Linked DNA regions of Mus musculus: regions 2 and 3 are each reported to be linked to region 1. The links are microRNA targets in miRTarBase. Many come from high-throughput screens and were not tested one by one. Region 1 holds a microRNA gene; each other region holds the end of a gene's coding sequence.
What was found. Region 1 holds the annotated microRNA mmu-miR-669a-3p (ACAUAACAUACACACACACGUAU, at 1,334-1,356, shown strand). A microRNA usually pairs through its seed, bases 2 to 8, with sites in the 3' UTR of a target mRNA and lowers its output. Matches are read on the target gene's strand: a 7mer-m8 pairs with bases 2 to 8, a 7mer-A1 pairs with bases 2 to 7 and ends in A, and an 8mer does both.

Region 1 (4,068 bases):
GCTATGACTCAGTTAGGAGGTGAATACTCTTGCCAGCATCATGAGGATGAGCAGTTCAAATTCATGTTTAACTTTATGATGAGTTAGAGATCAGCCCGGAATTCATGTGATTTTCCCTGTGTTTGTGTTTATGTGTATAGGGAAGTATGCCTGTACATGCGCGTATATGAACATGCATATATATATATATATATATATATATATATATATATATATATATATATACACCCACACAACTAGGGACACATTCATGTGCACACAAACACACATGGCAGTCATCCATTTGATTTATACGTGCTTAGAGTTTCATTGAGTGTATATTCATGGTATAGGGAATAATGTCACTTATCAGATGAAAACCACTTGCCAGAGTTAAAAGTCTCAGGAGTTCAAATTCATGCTAACTTCATAATGAGTTAGAGATCACCCTGTATTTGTGTGATGGATCCTAGGTATGCACAAGTGCATATAATTGTGTGTGCACGTACATGTGTGTATATGATCATACATATAAATACACACACATACAAATGTATTCACACACACAGGCATGCACACTCACACACATAAGAATGACACTCATTGATCCATTTGAATGATTTATGTCTTAGAATTTTGCTGATTATAAAGTAGAGGGACAGTGAATATTCTCACTCACCAGGTGTAAACAATTGTCAGTGTCAGGAGGATCAGGAGTTCAATTTCATGCTTAACTTCATGAGCAGTTAGAGATCATCCTGGAATAATGTGATGGCCCCTATGTATGTGCCTGTGTGCGTAAGTGCCTGCATGTATATGCGTGTATATTTTATGCATATACATACACACACCTACACACACATGCACACAGACATGCGGGAATGGCCCTCACGGATCCATTTGAATGAAATGTGACCTACTGCTTTGGAGGTTATGTATGACTGGGCCAGGGTGAGGTCTCACAAACCACAGGAAAACCCTTGGTAGATTCGAGAAGATCAGGAGTGCAAGTTCATGGTAAAGGCATGATGAGTTAGAGGTCATCCTGGCATTCATGTGATTGCCCCTATGTATGTGTGTATGTGTTGATGTGTGTGTACATGTACATGTGTGAATATGATATACATATACATACACGCACACATAAGACACATATGAGCACACAGACACATGGGAATGGCACTCATCAATCCATTTGAGTGATAAGTGACTTAGAGTGAAAATGCTTGCTAGAGTTAAGAGTATCAGGAGTTCAAATTCATACTTATCCTCATGAGAGATCAGCCTGTGATTCCTCCATGTATGTGCATGTGTGTATAGTTGTGTGTGCATGTTCATGTCTATATTTGAATATACATAACATACACACACACGTATAAACGCAAGCACACATACACAGACACAGGAATGGCATTCGCCAATCCCTTTGAATGATAAGTGATGTAGAGTTTTAGAGATTATGCAATAGGGGGCATTGAATGTCCTCACTCACCAGGTGTAAACGATTGACAAAGTCAGGAGGATAAGGATTGCAAATTCATGCTTAACTTCATTTGGAGACATCTTGGTATTAATGTCATGCAACCCATGTATGTGCATGTGTGCTTACTTGTATGTGCATTGTATGTGTTGACATGATATACATAACATAAACACACGTGTATATGCAAGCACACACACACAGGAAAAAATTGCATTCATTTATACGTTTGAATGATACGTGACTTAAAGTTTTCAAGATTATGCAGTAGTGGGACAGTGAATGGTTTTACTCACCAGGTGTGAAAGATTGTGGATCAGGAGTTCTAATTCATGCTTTACTTCATGATGACTTAGAGATATGCCTGGGATTCATGTGATGCCCCCTATGTATCCCTATCTGTATCTGTTTCTATTGTGTGTGGATTTGAGTATATGGATGTACCTATCTACACAAATATATACATGTACACAGACACAAACAGTAACACACACACAAACATGAATGCAACTCATCGATCCATTTGAATGATATGTGACTTAGAGTTTTAAGATTCCTCATTACTGAATGGGGAGAGGTCTCACTCAGCAGGAGAAATCCCTTGACAGAGTCAGGTGGATCAGGAGTTCAAATTCGTGCTGAATTTTGTGATGAGTTCATGATCAGCATGGGATTCATCTTATGCCCACCAAAAATGTGCATGTGTGTATAGTTGTGTGCATATTCACTTCTCTATATGAATATGCATATACACACATGCACACACATTCATAGGAATGGCCAGAGCTATGTCTCAGTTAGGAGGTGAGCACTCTTGTCAGTGTCAGGATGAGGAATTCAAATTTATGTTTAACTTCATGATGAGTTAGAGTTCAGCATGCGATTCATGTGATGCCCACCAAGAATGTGCATGTGTGTATAGTTGAGTACATATTCACTTCTGTACATGAATATGCATATACTCACATGCAAACATACTCCCACGAATGGCCCGAGCTATGACTTAGTTAGGAGGTGAATACTCTTGCCAGCATCATGAGGATGAGCAATTCAAATTCATGTTTAACTTTATGATGAGTTAGAGATCAGCCCGGAATTCATGTGATTTTCCCTGTGTTTGTGTTTATGTGTATAGGTGAAGTGTGCGTGTACATGCGCGTATATGAACATGCATATATATATATATATATATGTATATATATATATATATATATATATACACACACACACACACACACACACAACTAGGGAAACATACATGTGCACACAAACACACATGGCAGTCATCCTTTTGATTTATACGTGCTTAGAGTTTCATTGAGTGTATATTCATGGTATAGGGAAAAATCTCTCTTATCAGATGAAAACCACTTGCCAGAGTTAGGAGTCTCAGGAGTTCAAATTCATGCTTAACTTCATAATGAGTGAGAGATCACCCTGTTTTTGTGTGATGGACCCTAGGTATGCACAAGTGCATATAATTTTGTGTGCACGTACATGTGTTTATATGATCATACATATAAATACACACACATACAAATGTAGTCACACACACAGGCATGCACACTCACACAAATAAGAATGACACTCATTGATCCATTTGAATGATATATGTCTTAGAATTTTGCTGATTATAAAGTAGGACAGTGAAGGTCTCACTCACCAGGTGTAAACAATTGACAGTGTCAGGAGGATCAGGAGTTCAATTTCATGCTTAACTTCATGAGCAGTTAGAGATCATCCTGGAATAATGTGATGGCCCCTATGTATGTGCCTGTGTGCGTAAGTGCCTGCATGTATATGCGTGTATATTTTATGCATATACATACACACACCTACACACACATGCACACAGACATGCGGGAATGGCCCTCACGGATCCATTTGAATGATATGTGACCTACTGCTTTGGAGGTTATGTATGACTGGCCAGGGTGAGGTCTCACAAACCACGGGAAACCCTTGGTAGAGTCGGGAAGATCAGGAGTGCAAGTTCATGGTAAAGGCATGATGAGTTAGAGGTCATCCTGGCATTCATGTGATTGCCCCTATGAATATGTGTATGTGTTGATGTGTGTGTACATGTACATGTGTGAATATGATATACATATACATACACGCACACATAAGACACATATGAGCACACAGACACATGGGAATGGCACTCATCAATCCATTTGAGTGATAAGTGACTTAGAGTGAAAATGCTTGCTAGAGTTAAGAGTATCAGGAGTTCAAATTCATACTTATCCTCATGAGAGATCAGCCTGTGATTCCTCCATGTATGTGCATGTGTGTATAGTTGTGTGTGCATGTTCATGTCTATATTTGAATATACATAACATACACACACACACGTATAAACGCAAGCACACATACACAGACACAGGAATGGCATTCGCCAATCCCTTTGAATGATAAGTGATGTAGAGTTTTAGAGATTATGCAATAGGGGACATTGAATGGTCTCACCCACCAGGTGTAAAAGATTGACAAAGTCAGGAGGATAAGGATTTCAACTTCATGCTTAATTCAGTTAGAGATCATCCTGGTATTCATGTGAGGCCATCCATGTATGTGCATATGTGTTTACTTGTATATGCATTGCA
Region 2 (4,068 bases), not on the chromosome of region 1:
AGTTGAAATTTGTGATTCTTGATTGGCTTTGACTTACTTAATCAAGGCAGCTTTCTGGGAGCCCCCTGGGCTTGGATCTGATGTGTGTGGGCATTTAGTAGACTGGGGAGAGGGGAGGGACCTCCAAAAGGGAATCAGAACTGCTTCTCCTGAGAGCTGGGTGGGTTGCCCAGATACGTGCACACCCCTAGGTCATGTGTGCCTGGCTTCTCCTTCAGGAAAAAGAAGACAAGGCCCAGCTGCAGGCGGAAGTTGAGCACCTGCGGGAGGACAACCTGAGGCTGCAGGAGGAGTCCCAGAACGCCTCGGACAAGCTGAAGAAGTTCACAGAGTGGGTCTTCAACACCATAGACATGAGCTAGGGCCAGCCGAGGGGAAACGAGAAAGGGACAGGCTGCCCTATGTGGGCCCCTAAAGCACCCATTCACGCCTTGGAAAGTATTCTCAGAGTCCCCAGCGTCCCAGCCTGTTCATATCGGACAGTGCACAGCACAATTGCAGATCAACAATCATTATCTGCCTTTTTTAGAAAAGAAAAACAAAAAATTAAATAAAAATTTTAAAAAGTAAAATAAAAATTTAACTGCTCAAATGTGAATGTCTTTATTTTTTGCACAATATCTTTCTCTGTTATGTATTTACAAAGAAGCTGGGCCCAGACCCAAGTGCCCCTGGCCCTCAGTCTCTGCTTCCATCAGCTGACCTGGTTCAGGTACCCCAAGCTCCCTGTCCCCTGACAGATGTCTGTGTTCCTAGGAAGGAAGTTTTTCTTTTTTAACTGTTTGGGGGTGGGGAGGGGCCTTTCCTTGCCTCAGTCCCTAAAATGCCTGTGAGAGGGACTTTAAGGGAAGGCCCCACCCCTAAGTGGTCTGGGTGGGGCTTCTGCCCTCTGCATCCTGTCTGCTGGGGACCAGCAGGGCCACACCACTCACCCTTCAGATCTTGCATCTTGTCCCTTCTTTCTCCAGAAGAACTGTCCCCAGTACCTTCCTAATACTTTGTTTGGCTTAAGTGAACCCTACTAAATCAGAAATCAACCTATTCCACCTTCCTGGCTCCTAACATTAATTGGCATCTGAATTTTCTCAAATGAAAACCTTACCTGTTTGCATTGTAAACACATTTTGGTCAAAAGTCTCTCTCTCTATATATATATATATAGTTTCTGTTTGAGATTTTTAAAGATGTAGCAAACTTTTTAAAGCTTGTTCAAAATGACTAATAAATCTTTCTCACCAAAGCAAGACTTCAACCAGTGTTTGTAATTAGGAAAAGCTAACAGCAGCAAATGTTAAACCGCGAGTTTAATCCCTGCCTGTTTGGAGCAATGCCTAAAACAAAATGGGCTTTTGGAACCTGCATGTCGCAGTGTGGAGTTTATGCACAGCATTTTCTGCATCCTTTTGATGCCATCCAAAGGACTCTGCTGCAGAAATTACCCCTGCACTGTTCCTCCTGTCCAGTGATGCAGGCTGTTCTGGGCCCCTAACCCTTGCTGCTGTACAGACATGGGGCTGGCCAGTGTTAACTGGCGTTGTGCTAAAAGTTCCCTGCTGTAAACTAGAAAACCACTTGCCCTGGTTTCTATCCCTAAAGCAATATGTATCCCCCTTCCTCCTCCCTCTTCCTCCTCTCTCTCCCTCTCTGTCTCCCTCTGTCTTTCTCTTCTCTCTTCTCCTCTCTCTCTCTCTCTCTCTCCTCTCTCTCTCTCTCTCACACACACACACACCTCTTTATGCTGTAGTTTCACAAATGATTGTGAGTTCCCCCACCACCAGGTTTTTTCTTTCCCCTGTTAACATTTCTACCGTGAAGTAGGAGGATTTGGGAATGCTTTGTAAAGATGATAGTCGACTCTCTAATGTCCATGAAGGAGGTTGTACATTGCCTGATGTCTTTCTGTAAATGAGAAATATTGCTAACATCCGAGCATTCTGAAGTCTTGCTTATCTTCCCGAGTTTCCTTTCATTTGGTTTTCCTGTTTCTTTGGGGACTTGGGGCAAGCTATTTATTAGAGTTTTGCAACCGAGTTCTTGTTTGAAGTCTCTGAAGACTACTTGTAAAATTCAAACAATAAAATTCATTTTAAATGCTCTTTTAAAATGGATTGGTTATTGCTCGGGTTTTTTCACTTGAGACACCACCCAGGAACTCCCTGGTCCTTGCTTCCTGATCTTCTCATCAAGCTCCATTAACTCTAGAGAGGGTGCTGGAGGGCCGGTCCTTTTCAGAAGGTAATGGGCATCTTCGCTCCTGTTCACAGGTCTGCAGAGAATCCCCACCCTCGCCCTTTCCGGGTGTGATTAGTTCCAGAGCATTGTATGGTCAGTTTGCTTCTTCACTGTCCATGTGTGTGCTTCCCATCTCAGCCTTGCCATTCCCTGAGACCAGCATAGTTTGGGTTTGGTTTTTGGTTTGCTTTGTGTTTAGAAAAGCATTCCAAACTATCAAACAATCCTGTGCTCAGGGAATGTGAATGCCTGTTAATATTAGACTGTACAAAATATAATTAGAAAAGTTAGGCCACTGGAGAAATCAGTGCATCCTAAAGTCAAAAACACAGCACTGGATTAAAACACAGCTGGACTAAAAACAGCACATTGCCGTTCCTCTCCAGTGATGCAGCTAATTTGAGAAATGACACACTTTATTTTAGTTGATTCAACAATTCCAACAAACTCTAGAATTGTAAATCTAGGATAATAAGAGTGGATACCACAAGACACTCTTGACTGATCTATTCAGGAATAGCTTGGGGTGTGGGGGGGCTTAGGGATATAGCCCAGCTGGTACAACATTTGCCCAAGTCCTGTGCTTAGTCCTCAGTACTGCCCAGTGTAGTGATTAGCACATTCAGGAGGTGGAGGCAGAAGGGTCAGAAGTTCAAGGTCAGCCTGGGAGATAAAAGACTGACATAAACGGTACAAACAATAAAATCAGCTTGGCTTTGTGCCTTGGTATTAAAGGTCTTGGCATCAGGAGGGGCCATTGGGCTTCCTTGATGAAAAAACTCTAGATAGGCCAACTTGGCTGGGCTCCTAAACTGTTGTAGATGATGAGCCAAAGGGATTTCTCCATAGATGAGGATGAAAACTGCTCAAGAACAGGTGGTTGGCTGGTGGCGCATTCAGCATTTGAGGCTCAGGTAGGAGGGTTGGAGGTTTATGGGCAGTGTGCACTCAACAAGGAGACCCTACTCAAAAGCCAAGTAGTCCAAGAACCTAAGAAGCCGGCCTATCCAATAAGCACTTTGATTCCTGCTAAATGTAGGAGAGTGTGGTTTTGGAAGAAAGTTCTTCTGTCTTCTCAGGGTGAAGAAACGAGTTTTTGGTGCAAGATTTTGGTAAGAAACACAACCAGGGCTGGAGAGATGACTCAGCAGTTAAGAACACTGACTGCACTTCCAAAGGTCCTGAGTTCAATTCCCAGCAACCACATGGTGGCTCACAACCATCTATAATGAGATCTGATGCCCTCTTCTGGCCTGTAGGCATACATGCAGACAGAACACTATACGTAATAAATCTTTAAAAAAAGAAAAGAGAGGGGGCTGGTGAGATGGCTTAGTGGGTAAGAGCACCCGACTGCTCTTCCGAAGGTCGGAAGTTCAAATCCCAGCAACCACATGGTGGCTCACAACCACCCGTAATGAGATCTGATGCCCTCTTCTGGTATGTCTGAAGCTACAGTGTACTTACAAGTAATAAATAAATAAATAAATAAATAAATAAATAAATAAATCTTTAAAAAAAAAAAAAAAGAAAAGAGAGAGAGAGAGAGAAAGGAAGGGAGGAAGGAAGGAAGGAAGGAAGACAACCAGTAAATACTTGGGTACAGTTAGCCAGAAGCTATGTAGTTAGAAATCAATAGTGCCACAGAAATGTTGGGATATTTGCCCATAAACTCATTCCTCTACTACTGACCTATTCAATAGGAGTCGTCATTCTTTGATGAGAAAGGCATTTGACTTAGTCGAAGGCCTTAGGTAAGATGCCCAACTGCTAAAATGGAACAGCCACATGTATAAAGCTGGCCACTGCCAGCACAAATGACCTGGGCCACTCTGC
Region 3 (4,068 bases), not on the chromosome of region 1:
AGCTTTAATGCAGTCTACTTACTAGTTATATGTAGAGTAGGGAGTCACACTTTGAGTGACCCTGAAATTGTTAACACCTTGTGAAATGTGTGCTTTCTCACAGAGGCCTGAAGAAAGAGTATGGCAATGAAATTTGTACCCCTGTGATGGAATATCTCCTTTCACTTTCAGAATGCATGGCTCAAAATCATCCTGAATGGATTTGGTTTTCACTCATCTATATAACATTTTCAGGACGTCCTATTTTCCATACTATTATAACAATTCAAGCACAAACTTTGAAAAGACAAATTTTATGTCGTAAGTTTGATTAATTATTTCATTTGGTCTTGTGTATTTCCAGGCAACATAAACAGAAAAGCCAAAGGCCTCAATGCAGTATCAAATTCAACAAATGAGACCTTCTATGAAGCTGACGATGGGACTCAAGAGAAAACAATGGATATAACACAAATCAATATTGCCTGTTAGTTAAAATCCCTGTTTTGAAAGTTTATCTGAGAGAGGGAGCATTAAGAATAAAGAATGAAAAAAAATACAAAAAAGTTAAATAAAAATAAAGAATGCATTTTATTTGTGGATTTGTTTTGTTTGTTATGTTTTTTGTTGTTGTTGTCATTTTAAATATAGACTTTATATACATGGCCTTGCTCATCCTGGAACTCACTATGCAGACTGGGCCTCCTGAGTGCTGAGGTTTAAGGTCTGGGCCACCACATTTGTCAAGAACACATTTTAGATCAGCTGCTAACATCACTTTCCCAAAATCTGTCACTCACAAAGCAAGGCCAGCTGCAGTTTTAGTGAATTCATTTATTAGACACTCACTAAGGTGCTGTTGTTTATGGGTAGAAGTTTACTGTGTCAAGTTTCTGTACAACATGAAGCTACGCTTTTCTATCAAAATGAGTTCAGCAACGATGGAGAGACAAACCAATCACAGTGAAGCGCAATACGTGGGTTTGTTTCATTACCAACCTTTCACAATCATTTAATACAGGATGCTACTGTTAATTCCGGGAAAGCAAACCTGGTGGCGGGTCTTGTCTCAAGTCTCTTAGAAATCAATGTTTCTGAGAATTTGTGTATGTGTGCAGCAAAAATAAATTACCTTCATAAAAGTTACTTTTCAATGACAAATGTATCACTGAATTATCTGTGCAATGGGTACTTGCTGTATTTCATATAATAGACAAATCCCCTGTCAATACTTACCCTGAAGAATGTCTGTAATGAAAGATATAAAAGAAATCTGAATGTCACCAGCAGACTCAGCTGGCCCCTTGGACACACTCCCTGCTCTGGTTGCTTATCTCTGGGTTAACATCATGGAGGTTAGGTACTCCCTGTCTTGGGTTATCTCGTGCTTCTCTCTGTAACTTACAAGCAGCAGGTGCCTCATCAATTGACACAAAATATTAAAAGCAAGAAGGCAAATCAGCCTTCTTGTGGCTCAGCTGATATGCCGAGAAACATATTCCAAATGACTGACTTAGCTATCATAAGTACTCAGTGTAGTTCCATCTAATGCTACCAGAGAGCACAGTGATAGTCAACCTGTGTCGTGACCCCACTGCAGGACAAATGACCTTTCACAGTGGTTACCTAAGGCCACCCACCAGGAAACACAGATATTTACATCACAATTCATAACCGTAGCAAAATTACAGCTATGATGTAACAGTGATGTAAGGCCACCCACCAGGAAACACAGATATTTACATCACAATTCATAACAGTAGCAAAATTATAGCTATGATGTAACAATGAAAATAAGCTTATGGTTGGGGGTCACCACAACATGAGGGACTGTGGCATTAGAAAGGCTGAGAACCACACATCCAACATGAAAAGAGAGTTTCTACAGTGTATATCTCAAGAGGAATTTTTTTCATAAATATATCTATTAAGAATATAGGCATAGTTTTAAAAAGAAAATTTAATAGAAAATTCAGTAGAAAAAGGCAACAACTTAGAGCATGTTTCACTACACACACTGGCTTTGGGGAAGATTTCAGCAGCTGGGGGACATGTCTTTCAAAATGTGCTGAACATGGCTTCTTTGGTCTGATATCAAGAAGAAATGCCTCATCATTCCAGTGTGTGCAAAGCTCAGGGGTAGCAACTTTTCATCATGTCTACCATAATTATGGCTTTCTTGTAGACTAGCACTGTTTAAGGTTTGCGGTAATAGGAATGTTCTCTTATCTGCAGCATGGTATGATTGCTACCAACGCTAAGCGTATACTGGGCACCTGAAATGTGGCTGATGTAACAGAGATGATATGTTTATTTCCTGCATTTTATTTAATGATTACATTTAATACTGACCGGAGTCCCAGGTCATCACCATAATACCTGCTACTTGAGTTATATTTTCCATTCAAGTAGGACAGTTTTGCAAGGCTCAAATATTAAAATGCTAGTGTGTACATGAAGTTTAAAAGTTAGGACATTTTTAGCTATAAAAATGACTTTTTTTGAGATCAGAAAAGCAAAGAGAGTTTATTTTGTGCTGACTCAGAGCTTTTACGGAGACTTTAATCTTTTCAAGTAGTTTTTTTTTTTTTTTTTTTTTTTTTAAATTACGTATTGGCTTTTTGAAACAGGGTTTCTCTGTGTGTAGCCCTGGCTGCCTTGTAACTCATTATATAGACCAGGCTGGCCTCTAACCCACAGAGAACTTGCCCCATCTGGGGCCTCTTTTAAATGGCTGGTGGCGCATGCCTTTTAATCCCAGCACTTGAGGCAGAAGCAAGCAGATCTCTGTGATCCTGAGGCCAGCCTGATCTAGAGAGGGAGTTCGAGATTCAGGACAGCCAGAAAATGTGCCGCCCTGACACACAGGTGTTAGTATATTACTAGATCAGCTCCGGTGGGCATCTAGGTGGGGAGTGCTCAGTGGAGGCATGGGTACAGCTCTACTATCCTTGCCAAAAGGCAAGAGAAAGGAGGCACCATAAAAGGCATGGAGACAAAAAAAAAAAAAAAAAAAAGCCGGGCATGGTGGCACACGCCTTTAATCCCAGCACTCGGGAGGCAGAGGCAGGCGGATTTCTGAGTTCGAGGCCAGCCTGGTCTACGGAGTGAGTTCCAGGACAGCCAGGGCTACACAGAGAAACCCTGTCTCGAAAAACCAAAAAAAAAAAAAAAAAAAAAAAAAGGCATGGAGAAGAGGAAATTAAGGCTGGAGCCCACACGCTCCCTATCTGTGGGGAAGGCAAAATGGAGTCGCACATGGCTGTCTATATGCCATAAACAGTGTCCAAGGAGACGGACCCTGGACCTCTGCTGTGCTGAGTCTGAGTTGAAGGGAGAGGCATGAGTGAGGTCAAAAGACCCTGGCCTTAGCAACTGGGGTCACTGTCACCTCTGTTCTTAAGGCAAAGTTTGAAACCTAGGATGGTGCACAGCCTCACCTGCAGAGGCAGCTCACATCTACCGCTATTGGAGGGACGTGTCTCTCTGAAACTCTGAAACGGTGGTACTTCAAAAATTGATCAGAATATTAAAAGCAAGCCTTATTTCATTAAAGCAGTCTATACACTGGAAAATACGTTTGGGTTTCACCAATGCTAACACAGCAAGAGTTTTAAGCCTGTCAGAATAAGATGAAGCAAGTCCCCCTTTAAAAAAAGTGTGCATGTGTATAAATTCTGAGATTTATCTGACGGCACAGTAAGGCATTTTTATTTTTTATTTTGGTTCTAGGAAATACAAGCTATTGTATAATTCACAAACAACACAGCATAAGATGCTCAAACTATCTTCTATGTAGACTACTAATGACAGCATTTTCATCTTTAAAAAACTGTAGAACAGGAGCACAAAACAGATGAGACCAAACCCGAGGTTTCCTTCCTTAAAACTCTCATGGCTTAGAGAGTTAAATGTGAGCTTGCAAACATGGAGCCTCATGGAGCCTAAGGCTCCCTTCACTTGGTTGCAGGAACCTGAAACAGTGTCTCCTCAGTTTTTATGCTCTGAATTACACAGATAGACTAGCCACACCGAGCTTCTACTCTTTCAGGCACACTGTTCATTTCCAGCTCATCACCCTCTTTCTTG

Region 2: miRTarBase lists Sipa1l1 as a target of mmu-miR-669a-3p. Seed matches in the 3' UTR shown: 7mer-m8 at 629-635.
Region 3: miRTarBase lists Shisal2b as a target of mmu-miR-669a-3p. Seed matches in the 3' UTR shown: 7mer-m8 at 593-599.

Annotation. Positions count from the first base shown.
Region 1 is chr2:10,485,371-10,489,438 of GRCm38, forward strand. Mir669a-7 (microRNA 669a-7) reads left to right here and starts at 1,283; the gene lies at 1,283-1,369. All of the region lies in intron 10 of Sfmbt2 (Scm-like with four mbt domains 2), which reads left to right. It overlaps Mir467a-4 (microRNA 467a-4), which reads left to right and starts at 765; the gene lies at 765-847. Mir466b-4 (microRNA 466b-4) reads left to right here and starts at 1,053; the gene lies at 1,053-1,142. It also overlaps Mir467a-5, Mir466b-5 and Mir669p-1.
Region 2 is chr12:82,449,683-82,453,750 of GRCm38, forward strand. It overlaps Sipa1l1 (signal-induced proliferation-associated 1 like 1), which reads left to right. Exons shown (of 21, transcript NM_172579.3): 21 at 219-2,104. The coding sequence ends at 362. Among named protein-coding and RNA genes, the nearest start is that of Gm51987, 5.3 kb to the left of the region's middle.
Region 3 is chr13:104,842,339-104,846,406 of GRCm38, reverse strand. It overlaps Shisal2b (shisa like 2B), which reads left to right. Exons shown (of 3, transcript NM_029984.1): 3 at 344-1,124. The coding sequence ends at 471. Among named protein-coding and RNA genes, the nearest start is that of Shisal2b, 20 kb to the left of the region's middle.